Linked DNA regions of Nothobranchius furzeri. The protein of the gene in region 2 purifies or fractionates together with the protein of the main gene of each other region. This does not show direct contact. Links are inferred from orthologs where the notes say so. Each region holds a gene or a part of one and is shown on either strand. Other genes may lie near its edges.

Region 1 (5,282 bases), on a different chromosome or scaffold from region 2:
AAAATAACAAATTTTAGGCTAAATTTTGACACAAACTGAGGACAATATTTTCCTGATATATGGGGTTTATGTAGCCTGGCAAGCCAGACTAAATAAATGTATTATTTAGTCTGGCCATGCTCCATTGACGGCTCTCGGTTGTGGGGCAGGTTCTACCGTTGTCTTTCAAATGATCTCCACATTCCACTGGACAATGAATGTGACATACTCTTGTTTCACTCTGTTGCATCATCCCACCCACCAGGCATATAGAGGGCCCTGATTGGCCCACAAAGCAGATAAAGCTCTGTGATTTGTTCACTAAGCAGATAGAGCACTATGATTGGTCCACCATTGTGGACCAATCACAGCTCTTTATGTGTTTGAAACCCCTCTAGAGAGCTGTGATTGGCTAGCCAGAGTCCTGGTAGGAGCTGCTGAGGTTCCAATGGAGCATGCCTAGACCATTCTTTGCAAAGCAAGAATTTGGTCTAGTTCACTAGGCTAGGGTTTATGTACTTGTCTGAAAATGTAACACGTTTAAAAAAAATATACCGCGATAATACCGAAAACAGTGATAATTTTGGTCACAATAACCGTGAGGTTAAATTTTCACACCATGACAACCCTAAACGGCACATATCGTTAATCAGCCAATATTAGTTTAGGATATCAGTATCGGCCCAAAATGTCATATTGGTGCAACCTTATTGATTTTAACACTGATCAGTGCACAAAACAAAGATTTAACAGCTGGTTAAATTAAGTGTTCAAAAAATGGATCCAGCTTCAGAAAATCTGTGCATGAACTAATGTTATTAGTGACATTTTGGCATCAAAATAAGGTGGTAAATGTCTTTGGGCTTCCTGACAGGGTTGCGGAAGGCGCTTTATAAATAAAGCTTTGATTGATTGATTGATAAATATCGGCCATGAAAATCTGCAAGGGATGCACGATATATCGGCATCAATATCGGTATCAGCCGAAGTTAGACCTTTTTTCATATATAGGCATCAGTCCGATAAATAAAACTGGGTCAATATTAACAACAAATATTTTTCCCATCATTTCCTTTTGTTTCTCTGTTTCAGAGGTTGATGTGTACTTGTTTAGTCATGTGACATTGATGATAATCATCTCAGAAGCGTAAATGTGTGAGGTGTTTGTACATAATGATGTAAATTCAGCTTTAATAATTTTCATTCTCCACCGAATCTCCTGATTTTTGAAGCAGTTATGTCAATATATCAGTATTGGCAAATATCGGTTATCGTCCATAACAGTGAAATTAATATCACATATCACATCTGCTCAAAATTTTCATATCGGTGCATCACTAAAATCTGCCCAAAATTTCGGCTGCACAAATCGGCCATCGACTGACCATGACCTCAGCACCAGAGATTTGAGAGCCCAACTCCAAGTCCCCAGACTCTGCTTCCTCACTGGAAGACGTGTCGGTGGGATTGAGGAGGTCTTCAAAGTATTCTGCCCACCGATCCACAAGTCCTGAGTAGAGGTCAGCAGCACACCGTCCCCACTATAGATAGTGTTGGTAGCACACTGCTTTCTCCCCGAGGCGCTGGATGGTGGACCAGAATCTCCTTGAAGCCGTACGAAAGTCTTGCTCCATGGTCTCACCGAACTCCTCCCATGCCCGGGTTTTTACCTTGGCGACCACCCGAGCCGCGTTCTGCTTGGACCACCGGTACCCGTCAGCTGCCTCTGGAGTCCCACAAGCCAAAAAGACCTGACAGGACTCTTTCTTCAGCTTGGCAGCATCCTTAACTGCTGGTGTCCACCAAAGCATTGGTATCAGCAATACAAAAAACAATATTAGTCAACCTCTGATTCTGGCCATGTGTGGGGTGCTACAGCCACTCTGGTCTTCTCAGAAGGACATCGGGACTGCTTCGATCTTAAATCTGGGCTCGGCCCAACATCGAAGACAAACAAACATGCTTCATGTTGAAAGTCCATCAAAAGCATGCTCCTCCTCCACCACAGATAGGTTTAGCAAGACTTCTCATCTAATCGGTGTGTAGTTTTAGCCATGTTGCTGGACTGCAGGACCAAAACTGTTTGGTGATTTTTCATCACCTCGTGTGGGGTCTCTCACGTTTTTAAAAATCACCCCACAATTTTAAACCCTCCTGTGTGAACCGGGCCTTAGAGCTCGACAAGAAGCCAAAGATAAATGTGATTATTTTCTCTTTTGTTCTGTAAATGTGCCAATTAATCAACGGGATTACTTTTTTTTGTCAAACAGTAGACATCTTCTCTAGAAAACAAAACAAAAAACAGCAACTCCATTCATGTGTGTTGCTTTTAACCTAAACTTCAATAAAAAATAATGATTTTTAAACAGTTTGTCTTGTGATGAAGCAGTGATACCAGAGGCGCCTCTAATGGTGAACACAACCCACCAGTCCCAGTCTTGTCTGAACCAGTGCAACCACTTTAGATCAGTTAAAATGGTTTTCTCCACCACTACATGGAAAATCTGCATCGCTGCATGTTTACAACTTGCTGACAGCACATGATGAGAGGCGGATTTCAGGAAAGAGGTGTGCAGCGGTGTGAATGCAGAGACGGAAGCGTGTGAACCGGGGATGGTGATCACCCAGGCCCGAAGGCTGCTGGTGCGATGGCCGTGATGGGTCTGGACCGTGTGGCCTGCTGGTCGGATGCATCAACTACGGGGGGGTTCTAGGGTGGAGAAGGGCATTTCTCACCGTAGATACAGAATAAAGGGGGGGAGGGGGGAGTAAAATGTGTGATCGAGCTCTCGGAGTCCTAAACATAAACTCACTCGGGTGTATATTTTACCTTATCTGTGTAAAAGACGTTACCGGCTCGGGAAACCGTTATCTGTACGTGTACGTGCTCCATCACTCCTCGGTGCACTTGCTGCTCGGGAAGCCTCACCCCACCCATCTGAGCCACGGCACCGATGGAGGCGAACGGGACTCCCATTCATCAGTCACATTCATCCGCTCATCTTTTCATCCGGAATCTCGTTCATGCACAAACACACAGGTGACGGGAAAGATGTAAAAGCGCGAGACGGAGGGAGAGAAAAGCGGCAGCAGCTCTCCCGGTCGCTCTCCAGCCATCATCACTACCCAGCTCACATCATCACCCCCAGCCTCTCTCCTTCCTCTGCATCCATGTTTCCACCTACCCGAAAATCGCATGTCCCGCGGAGTCCGGCGACAAGCAGACGGGTGGCCGGTGTCGCGGTCCTGCGACAGCTCTCCGGTGGTTCCTGGGTGTTTTCTGGGTGTTCCGTACCGACTGATGCTCTAGTTTCGCTCGGTACCAGCCCTGTGCTAATCCGCTCCACACAAAGAGCAGAAAATGGCTGCAAGTGCATTTTCTTAAAGGGACAGTCGCAGCTCGGCGCCGTCGACATGTTGATCCCTCTCGTTTTTACAGCTTACTCAGGCACTTGTACTTTGGGGTGCCATTTGTGAAGTCAAACAGTCGTAATCTAACAGCAATACTTTTGGTTATTTAGCATATCATAAGAGAAAAAATTGGGAGTTCACTTTTTTGAAGTCGTATTTTCACCATGTTTATAAATGTTAAAGTTTCCAAATAAATATTTAGTTAGCAAGCTAAATATTTAATTTGTAGTTAAATATTTATTTTGCAAACTAAATATTTAGGTCAGATCTAAATATTTAGTTTGTAAAATAAATATTTAATTCACTAACTAAATATTTAATTTACTAATTCAATATTTATTTTGGAACTAAATATTTGATTTGTAAATTAAATATTTATTTTCCTAAATAAATATTTAGATCCCAGCTAAATATTTATTTTGGAGCTAAACATTTAGTTTGCAAAATCAGTATTTGAGAAATAAATATTTAAGTCTGACTCAAAAAATATAAAATATAGTGTGGAGCTAAATAACATTGTGAAAAATAAATATTTAGCTGGTACTTAATCATTTAGCTAATGTACAAATTTGCTTGCCAATAAGCAGAAGTTGGTTACCAAAATAAATGCTGGATCTCGCTAACTTCTTTATAAACTCTTGCTCCAAACCAGAACTTGTTTTATCTCCGGTTCTTCTTCTGAACATGTCCGACGTGTTGGCTGAAGAAGAATAGAACCGGAGATAAAACAAGATAGGCACCAGTTTCATCTCAGGCGCAGCCGCGCAGCGCCACCGCAGCTTTACAACATTGTGGAGTACTTTACAGTAGACATTACGACGCAGAACAAACCCAACCGCACTTTTGATAACTTTAAAGTACTATTGATGTTCATGTATTTTAATAAATAGTATACTTTCCCACTTTTAAAAAATTTGAGTCTCACAAAATGCTATGGTAAGTCTGATCAAGTATAAACAATAGAGTCACTTCCCGCTTCCTGTTCTCAAGTCCCGCGTGATGTTGTGACTATCGCACGACTTTCCAGAAGTGCTCAGTGGCATTTCCTGTGTGACAAAATCTTGTTCTCAAAATCGCAGGAGCAACACTGATCGTCCGCCTACGGTGTGCCTCAAGCTTTATATAGCCTCAGCATGTTTGGGACAGTGATATTTTGGTTCAGTTGTATTTTTTATTTTTATTTTTTTGTGCGCCCTCATCTTTCTGCACTCTGTAAACCCAAAATGTTGAAAATAATCAAATATTTTAGAACTCAAATGTGTTGAATTAGTTCAGCCTTTTCCTTGTATTAAATAGAACTCAAAATTTATAATTAACCTGAACTATTTCCTTTTATAGTAGCCTAACATACATAAATTAATAAACCACAACTTAACTGGAATGAGTAAAAATAACTAAATGATTAATTTATCATTTTATGGTTCTATTTTATTCTATAAATCTTGATGTCACCTGTGTCTGATAAATAGACTTATATACATACATACATACATACATACATACATACATACATACATATATACATATATATATATATATACACATATATATATATATATGTGTGTGTGTGTGTGTGTGTGTGTGTGTGTGTACACACACGTGTTTTAAATGTTTGTGGACTTATAGGAAAAACAACCAAGGGCAAGTAATTTTGGTGCATTGCAGAAACAGCTGTTGCCTTGCAGCAAGAAGGTCCTGGGTTCGATTCCTGGCCTGGGATCTTTCTGCATGGAGTTTGCATGTTCTCCTGTGCATGCGTGGGTTCTCTCCGGGTGCTCCGGCTTCCTCCCACAGTTCAAAAACATGACTGTTAGGTTGATTGGTCTGTCTAAATTGTCCTTAGGTGTGTGTGTGTGTGTGTGTGTGTGTGTGTGTGTGTGTGTGTGTGTGTG
Region 2 (4,777 bases):
CAGAAACATCAAACCGGGACACAAGCAGCCGCCCTCGTTCACAAACTCCGGACTGGAAAACGTATCGGTGGAGGAATGTGATTTTTAAAACGCCACAGGATAAATCCTCTTTATAAAAAAACGTACTTGAAGACTGTAATGGGAATGCACAGATGTTGGTCAAGGCTAAGGTAAGATGGTGGCGGTGACGGCGATCAATCGGACCAGTCGTCGTCGCCGAACTCCGAAGAGTCGTCCTCGCTGTCGCTGCACTCCACGGCGATGCGACGGGACAAAATGGCGGCCACGTCGTTGCCGGTCGTGTCCCTCTTCTCCTGCTCTCGCTGCGCTTCCACCTTACGCAGATTAAAACCTACGTTAAAAGAAAAAGTGTGAAGTTAAAAAAGCCGTGGCTTGAGAGAAACGCCCTCTTCAGCAGAGCATGCTGAAAACGCGTCTAGAAGCACACACCTGGTTTATTTACTTCCTAACAGCTGCAACAGAAAAACAACATTTGTCTTTAATAATCAGAGTACAACATCCTGGTTGGTCTGCTGCAGCTGCTAGGAGCAGAGTGCTGCCCGTGTGGCAAGCTCTTACGTCATATAACGTACACGTTCAAACATTCTCCCTCTGTGACGCACCGAGCGGAGAAGTTCAATGTTAGAAGAGCTGCATGATATACGTGTGTGTTACGGTCACATCGCAGATCTCGCTACGATATCACAGGTTTAAGAACTCGACGCGTTCTGATCTGACGTGGATCACTGCGTGTCCTTCAATCAATCACAATCGTCCCTACTCAGTCAGCAGAATCCGACCACAAAGGGGTTAGTTGTGTGAGATTTTGTTGTTTTTTCTAACTCCCTCTTATTAAAACCTGGCCCAAAACTATACAGTGTTGTTGTTGGTGAACAAATAAATTAGGAGTGGGACTTGATTAAAAATTATTTTAAATATTCAGAGGCTTCGTAATTAATTAATCTTGATTAATCGATCAAGATAATTTTCCCCCCAAGCCATTTTTTTTAATTAAAAATGATGTTCGGAGTATATTTCTATAATTACAAGATCTATTTGATTACTATAGTCTCATTATAAAGAAAAACACTGTGGGATTTGTTGGGATGTGTAAATATTAGGTTATGTGTTACTGATGAAGTGTAAATAGACATGGAACATCGTGAATGCAGTGTACTGAACTGAGCACTAGGTGGCAGGAGAGCCCTGCTAATGAATATAGAGGTGTAGCGTAGAGTTCAGGGGAAGTTCTGATGAGAGATACAAGATAAATGCTTGTCTGTCTCGCTAGGCTCAGCTTCCGTTATCTTCTCTAATCATAATTAACGCATTAAATTTAAACCCCTAAAATTAATAAGTTGGTTTGTGTCTACTGGAGGTTTAATCATCTCCACTCAGTCAGCAGTGAGGGGCACTGCCTCCCTCTAGGTAGGTCTTACCGCTTCTGATGGCCTGCAGCAGGTCGCTACGAGAATCGCCAGCAGCAGCTGGCTGAGGTTTAGGAGCAGAGCTGGGAGCCACGCCTCCACCAGAGGAGGGGGGAGGAGGAGGAGCAGAGATTCCAACAGATGGAGGAGGAGGAGGCCCTGGGGGTGGAGGAGGTGGAGGAGGAGGTGGTGGACCTCCACCACCTGAAAGGACAGGTGGCGGGGGAGAAGAGATAAAGGACATATCGGGTGGGGGAGGAGGAACAGGGGGAGACGGATAAGAGTTGGTAGGAGCGAGTGGAGGAGGAGGAGGAGGGGGAGCATCAAAGCCAGGTGGAGGTGGGGGTGCATCAAAACCAGAGGGTGGCGGCGGGGGAGGAGGTGCAGGGGGAGGGGAGAGGCTTGGACGGAAGTTAGATACAGGAGAGGAGAGAGAAGGTGGAGCGGGAGGAGGGTGGGTGGGACTCATGCCGCTCCACCTCTGGGCCGGAGCTCCATCACCAAACCTGCAAGTAAAGATGAACAGAAGCGTTAATACAGAAGAAGCTTCTCCAACTACAGATGTTCCTCTGGAGATGTGTCGCCGCGTAGCCGTGTCCCAGAGTGGCCGAGTCCCAGAATGGCCGTGTCGCCGCATAGCCGTGTCTCAGAGTGGCTGCGTGTCCCAGAGTGGCCGAGTCGCCGCATAGCCGTGTCCCAGAGTGGCCGTGTCGCAGAGTAGCCGTGTCGCAGCGCAGTACGACTACGTAGCCATGTGACCGCACAGGCGTACGAACGCCTATACGTTACCACCGAGTGGACGTATGACCACCTAGACTAAAACCGTGCAGCTGTAGAACTGCCTAGACAAATAACTGTAAACACAGCCACCTAGATGTACGACCGCCTAGAGCAGGGGTCAGCCACCTTTGTGAGGCTGAGAGCCACTTCACGATTACCGAGTCACATGAAGGGCTACTGGGTTGACAAGGTTTTGTCACGTGCACAATACTGACCTTTGAACTAGAATAGATTTGAGTTTAACTACACTTCATGTATAATAAATATATTTTAAGGTTTTTTTTTTTACAATATATCGGTGCAACTGAGGTTAAAAAAGTCTATTTGGGCTTGTCCCTTCAGAAGTCACTACAGCCAATCATCTGTCTCCATTCAGTCAGGTCTTCTGCATCCTCTACCAACTAACTTCATGTCCTCTTTCAGCACATTCATAGATCTCCTGTCCTGACATGTCCAAACCATCTCAGTCTGTCCTCTCTGACTTTATCTCCAAAACATCTAACAGCTGTCCCTCTAATAGACTCGTTCCTGATCCTATCCATCCTCCTCACTCCCAAAGAGAACCTCAACATCTTGAGCTTTGGAACCTCCCGTTATGTTGTCCTCAAGGACCATCCGGCATGGCTTCTCTCACTTCTGTCTTCCACACATTTCCTTTCCTTTTTGCTGAAACCCTTTTTCCACACACATCTGACATTCACCGACTCCACCCTGCTTCACCCGCCTCTTCGCCTCTTTCCACCTTCTCTGTTGCTTTGGACCATAAACCCCAAGTCCATAAAGTCCTCCACCTTCTTTACTTCTACTCGCTGTAACATCACTGTTCCACTTCAACTGTCCCCTCTCATTTACACACATGGATGGTGTCTTCGTTCGTTCCTTTCTTCTCCAGTGCACATCTACACCTCTCTAGCTCTTCTTCTACCTGCACCATGCTCTCACAGCATATCACTGTCTGCAAACATCAAAGTCCATGAAGACTCCTGTGTAACATCTTCAGCTTGTCCATCACCAAAGCAAACAAGGGGCTCAGAGCAGATCCTTGATCCCATCTCACCTCCACCCTGAACTCCTCTGGAACTCCAGCTCTCACACACGTTCTTTACCACTCTAATACTTTTTGGTTACTCCAGACCTCCTCATGCATCTCAGCACCATCATAACCTTCTCTGTACTTCTCCTTTGGCATCTTTGAAGCTAAGGTAGCATCTGTAGAACACTCTTGGCATCCCACTGTTCTGCTGCTCACAAATGCTCACTTCTCAAGTCTAGCCTAGCTTCTACCACTCCTTCCCAGAGTTTCACTGTAGAACCCATTAGCTTTGTTCCTCTGCAGTTCCCACAATTCTGTAAGCCGTCCACGTTTATAATCACATAAAATGTGATTTTAAAAACAGCCACAGAAAATAATATTTTTACATTTTTCTGAACGGTAAATTGTGCTATTTTTAGAACAGGCCTGAGGGCACCAGGTCGGTGACCCCTGGCCTAGACGTACACGTACGATTGTCTAGACGTACAGTCGCTTGAACATATACGACCACGTACATGTGTGTTCGTGATTCGCTAGCAGGGCCAATCATGCTAACAGTACTTACGGTGCGTCTACGGGTGGAGGAGGCAGGAATTCTTCAGGACTGCCCGCAGGTGGAGGGGAGCCAGGCTCGTAGGCGTAGGAGTTCGTACTCTGATCAAGGGGATCAGAATTAAAACCTTCTCCTGATCCGATGCTGCCGTTCCGACCCTCAGAGTTCCTTAAAGCAGACAGAAGACATTAGCTTAATGATGAAATATCAACGCTGAGGTTTCATTTATTTAAAATAAACGAATGGGCGACGGCGGCACAGGAGTTAAGCGCTCGCCCCGTAATCGGAAGGTTGCAGGTTCAAGCCCCACTCAGCCTGTAGCTGTCGTTGTGTCCTTGGGCAAGACGCTTAACCCACCTAGCCTGCTGGTGGTGGTCAGAGGGACTGGTGGCGCCAGTGCTCGGCAGCCTCGCCTCCGTCAGCGCCCCAGGGCAGCTGTGGCTACATCGTAGCTCCTCACCACCAGGGTGTGGGTGTAAGAGTGAATGGGTGAGTGATTGTGTTGTGAAGCGCCTTGGGGGAGGGGGTTCCAGGGCCTCTTACCAAAATAAAAAGGCCCTAAAAACAGGTGGAAAGGTCAAACAACAGCAAACAGGAGAATATTTTAAATATTTTTATCGTAAAACTTGTTGAATGACTGAATTTAACCCTTTCAGGTCATCGGCTAAAATCAAATCAAACATAAGGGATGTTATGGTTGCAGTTGTTTACTGCAGTGTGTCCCTACACCCCACCCCCGAGGACATTCCCAGACAGCACGTACCACCCACATCACTGTGTACAGATGGGCTGATAAGGACGGGGAGAAGACATCACGTGGGCTCCTGATCTGAACCTTTGCTTTTGTAAACTAGGAGTCTTTTTTTCCAAAGTCCAGCTCAGCTGACTGACCGTGATGTTGTGTTTGTGACAGATAAGAAGCCCACAGGAGTAATGTCTTCTACAGTCTGCCATAAACGGTCTTTACAAGCACAGGACTCCATC
Region 3 (4,207 bases), on a different chromosome or scaffold from region 2:
CGTTCCTTGTAGCTTTACCGGTGCGTCGTCCGGTTAAACTCCAATCCAAGGCCAATCAGCTGTGCCCCCGCTGTGTGTGCCGGTGTATAAACAGAGCAGACCCAGTAGCGTAGTCTTGAGTGGGTGGGAGCACTTCTAGGCGAAGGTTGGACTTTAAGCCAACTTGTTAACAGGAAGAGCGCGCGTACACACCTTCGTGCGATTTACAAGATATCGCAAACATGGCCCAAAACTTGAAAAAGTTTTACAACCTTACAGCTAATCTGCTGACTGGTGAAGCTTTTAATTTCTCCACACTTAAAGGGAAAGTCGTTCTCATTGAGAACGTGGCATCTCTCTGAGGAACAACAATCAGGGATTACACTCAGATGAACGAGCTTCATTCTCGCTATTCCGCAGAGGGACTCGTTATCCTGGGTGTGCCCTGCAATCAGTTTGGGCACCAGGTAAGTTCCAGTAGATATACGGAGAAACAAATAATGCACAGTACTTGTTTTTGTTACTTGTAGAAGGGTTAAGGAAAGTGAATTAGTAGAGTGGTTTAGAATCAAAGGTGCTTCCACATTTAAATTCATGCTACTTTAATGTATTTAAATATTTCGATTTGCACAATAGGAGAATGCCAAAAATGATGAGATCCTGAGATCCCTAAAGTATGTCCGCCCAGGGAATGGCTTTGAACCCAAGTTCCAGCTCCTGGAGAAGGTAGACGTCAATGGAAAAGCTGCTCATCCCTTGTTTGTGTACCTTAAGGAGACGCTCCCAACCCCCAGCGACAATGCCACGGCCCTCATGACCGATCCAAAGTTCATCATCTGGAGTCCTGTGTGCAGGACCGACATATCCTGGAATTTTGAGAAATTCCTGATCGGAGCTGATGGGGAGCCTTTCAAGCGCTACAGCAGAAACTTCCTCACCATAGATATTGAGGAAGATATTAAGGAGCTACTGAAAAGGAGGATCAAGTAAAATGTGCTACAACATTACTATTGCTGGCAGTGAAAGATATCTGTCGTGACCACACTGGCTTTGTAATGCTTATCTGTAGACCCAGGCGTTTCGGGTATTTCTTCTTGCTTTCCTGCTCACAGTTGAATTAATTGCCACAGTCCAAATATTGTGAAATTTTCAGTGGTATATACTTGGTTTTTCAACCCATTTACTTAATGATGAGGCTCCTGCAAACCTTTTTGTGTAGGGAGACTCTGATAAAGATGTAAATGTCTGTATTTACCCCTGACTGTACTGCAATTGGAATATTAGTTGAAAAAATGAAATAAACATCTTTTATCAAACACTTTTTAAAATTACATTTATAAAACGCACATATAAATCCTAGATTTTCTTTGGTGTCCGACAAATGTAGGCAACTATATCTTTATCTCATTTCAATTTTACTTTTTGGCATTTAAATAGAAGCATTTGCATTGAGGGTTTTTCTTTACATGATGCATCAAACCATAAAAACTACAGATTATTGAAAATTACTTCTGGAGAATAAAACATCTCCTATGATTGTTAGATTCAGAAGGTATTTTTAATGTTTCTTATTCTCACATTTATACAACGCTGCCACAAGGTGCTACCTTTAGGAGCCAATTGAGGTTCACTGGTCCCAAAACAAACCTGGGCTTATCACATGAGACACCTCAGCCACACGTTCGTAAAACCTTATGTGTGTTTGCATCATAGACAACAATGTGTAGTCTGTGGCGTATGCACATGTGCATAAAATAGTTAAATAACTTTAATAGATTAACTTTCTCAACTAGATTTTTTGTCTTTGTTTTTAGATGTTTTTTAAATATTTTTTCTGTCAAAACTATATATATATATGTATAAATTTCATTTTCTGGGTTTTTCTTTATATTCTAAATTTGAAAATTGACAAAATAATCTTCACTTTTACATACAGTGTTTGAACCGAGCGAAATAAAAAGCAATATTTTATTGATAATTATGAATCTCGCTAAATCTCGTGCCCAGTTTACGCCCGATGGCGCTTCCTGGATGAAAGCTTCTGCAACGACAAAACTGCTAACATGGCTGGCCAGGAAGACCCCGTTCAGAGGGAGATCCACCAAGACTGGGCGAATCGAGAGTACATAGAGGTCATAACAAGCAGCATCAAGAAAATCGCAGACTTTCTCAACTCGTTCGGTGAGCTTTTAGGAAAAGCTACAAAGGATTCGACCGCTGTGTTGTAGAAATATTTGAGCTGGAAGGTCGCGCTAGCTAGAGAAGCTAGCTGTCGGGCTGCTGCTAACACTGATGTTGATGTTTTTAAATGGCCACTCCCAGCTAGCTCGGACATTAGCACCGAGCTAATCGCTTTGTTTTAAAGGGTAATGATATTTCAAAGGAGAATTGCGTTTGCTTAGTTTATTATATTTATTAATTCAAGTGTCGAAGCTCTGCCACATCTTTAGGAACACAATAGCTACCAGTGAAGTTCATCTTCAATCAGTGCTCCCTACAGTTGTATCGTTGATATACCAAACTAACATTCAAAATAAATTTTAACCCAAACAGATATGTCTTGTCGGTCCCGCCTGGCCACTCTAAACGAGAAGTTGACAGCACTGGAAAGAAGGATCGAATATATAGAAGCAAGAGTAAGTAGAAGAATCACAGTTAGATGCATTGTTTTGAGTGATTTAATCAAGCAATTATATCTCTTTTCAGGTGACGAAAGGAGAAACCTTGACCTAGACTTCCATCATGAGGATCCTTAATATCTAACTACTTCCCCACCCTTTACCCTGAATTATTTTGGACTAAATGTGCTGGACTCCACTGTCCTGTTTTGGGGATTATGTGGACCATTTTTATATTATGTGACTGAGTTTTGTGTTTTTATCTCATGGCACATTTGTAAAATATATATAAAAACATGAAACAGATTCTGTATTAGTGGCACAAACACCATCATTAGATTTAAAATTGATCTCCATAAGTATTCAAAAGATATTCTGGGACTAAGTTGTGAATCTATTGTCAGCAGTATATATACAGTATGCCATTACTAAATCAGAGACATAAAGAGGGAACATTCATGTGTGCCAAGTTTAACATTGTCTAGTCTCCTTTATTTGCCTGTTTGGTAAGGTTTCAGACTTTAAATACTGAAATAAAAGCTATACGATGATAATACTTGATTTTCATCTTATTTTAAGTACTCCATTTGGTGTTTAAATTTAATTCAATGGCTAAGTGTGAACAAAAGCTACTAAAACATCTGTCAAGTAAACAAACATCAAAGATAGTTTGTTGCATAGATAAGTTAGATGCATTGGTTATGTGTATCGAAAAAGTCCACTTACATTAATGTGAACCAATATTAAGAAAAATAATTGAATATATCTATCCATTTTCATCCGGAGTCGGGTCGCGGGGGCAGTAGCCTAAGGCGAGAGGCCCAGACTTCCCTCTCCCCCAGCCAATTCGGCCAGCTCCTCCGGGGGAATTCCCAAGGCGTTTCCTGGCCAGGTGAGACATAGTCCCTCCAACGTGTTCTAGGTCTACCTTTAGGTCTCCTCCCGGTTGGACGTGCCCGGAAAACCTCAGCAGGGAGGCATCTTGACCAGATGCCCGAGCCACCTCAACTGGCTCCTCTCGATGTGGAGGAGCAGCGGGTATACTCAGAGCCCCTCCCGGATGACCAAGCTTCTCACCCTATCTCTAAGGGAGAGCCCAGCCACTTTGCGGAGAAAACTCATTTCAACCGCTTGTATCCGCGATCTTGTTCTTTCCGTCACTACCCAAAACTCATGACCATAGGTGAGGGTAGGAACGTAGATCATCTGGTAAATTGAGAGCTTTGCCTTCTGACAGCTCTCTCTTCACCACGACAGACCGGTACAACACTCGCATCACTGCAGATGCAGCACCAATCTGCCTATCTATCTCACACTCCAGTTTTCCCTCACTCGTGAACAAGACCATACACTTAAACTCCTCCATTTGGGGCAGGTCTCTCTCTCTCTCTCTCTCTCTCTCTCTCTCTCTCTCTCTCTCTCTCTCTCTCTCTCGACAGCTGTACATTTATGTGCGTTTAAGAGTAAATAAAGTAGTATTTATAGTATCTCATCGAAGTATGCTGTCTACCCTGTGTAAACTGACTGGGAACTATTTATTTGGTTAACCATAAACTATCGTGAAAACGTCGAGAAGTTAAAGACAAGTATCACCCAAAATTGCAAAATGG

Evidence for each region. Proteins that work in one complex are often made in the same cells at the same time.
Region 1: the proteins of wasf2 (region 2) and cyfip2 purify together in Homo sapiens (co-immunoprecipitation; 3 studies listed by BioGRID and IntAct, with this or other methods). This does not show direct contact. The link is inferred for Nothobranchius furzeri from reciprocal best matches to the Homo sapiens genes WASF2 and CYFIP2.
Region 3: the proteins of wasf2 (region 2) and brk1 purify together in Homo sapiens (co-immunoprecipitation; 3 studies listed by BioGRID and IntAct, with this or other methods). This does not show direct contact. The link is inferred for Nothobranchius furzeri from reciprocal best matches to the Homo sapiens genes WASF2 and BRK1.

Annotation. Positions count from the first base shown.
Region 1 is NC_091742.1:50,768,093-50,773,374, forward strand, and holds the start of cyfip2 (cytoplasmic FMR1-interacting protein 2), read right to left. Parts: upstream 3,357-5,282; 5' UTR 3,165-3,356; intron 1-3,164. UniProt on the Homo sapiens protein: Involved in T-cell adhesion and p53/TP53-dependent induction of apoptosis. Does not bind RNA. As component of the WAVE1 complex, required for BDNF-NTRK2 endocytic trafficking and signaling from early endosomes.
Region 2 is NC_091759.1:21,196,164-21,200,940, reverse strand, and holds part of wasf2 (actin-binding protein WASF2), read right to left. Parts: intron 3,962-4,777; coding exon 3,806-3,961; intron 1,934-3,805; coding exon 1,440-1,933; intron 353-1,439; coding exon 195-352; 3' UTR 1-194. UniProt on the Homo sapiens protein: Downstream effector molecule involved in the transmission of signals from tyrosine kinase receptors and small GTPases to the actin cytoskeleton. Promotes formation of actin filaments. Part of the WAVE complex that regulates lamellipodia formation.
Region 3 is NC_091743.1:65,723,861-65,728,067, reverse strand, and holds brk1 (probable protein BRICK1), read left to right. Parts: upstream 1-1,985; 5' UTR 1,986-2,042; coding exon 2,043-2,160; intron 2,161-2,532; coding exon 2,533-2,615; intron 2,616-2,685; coding exon 2,686-2,712; 3' UTR 2,713-3,151; downstream 3,152-4,207. UniProt on the Homo sapiens protein: Involved in regulation of actin and microtubule organization. Part of a WAVE complex that activates the Arp2/3 complex. As component of the WAVE1 complex, required for BDNF-NTRK2 endocytic trafficking and signaling from early endosomes.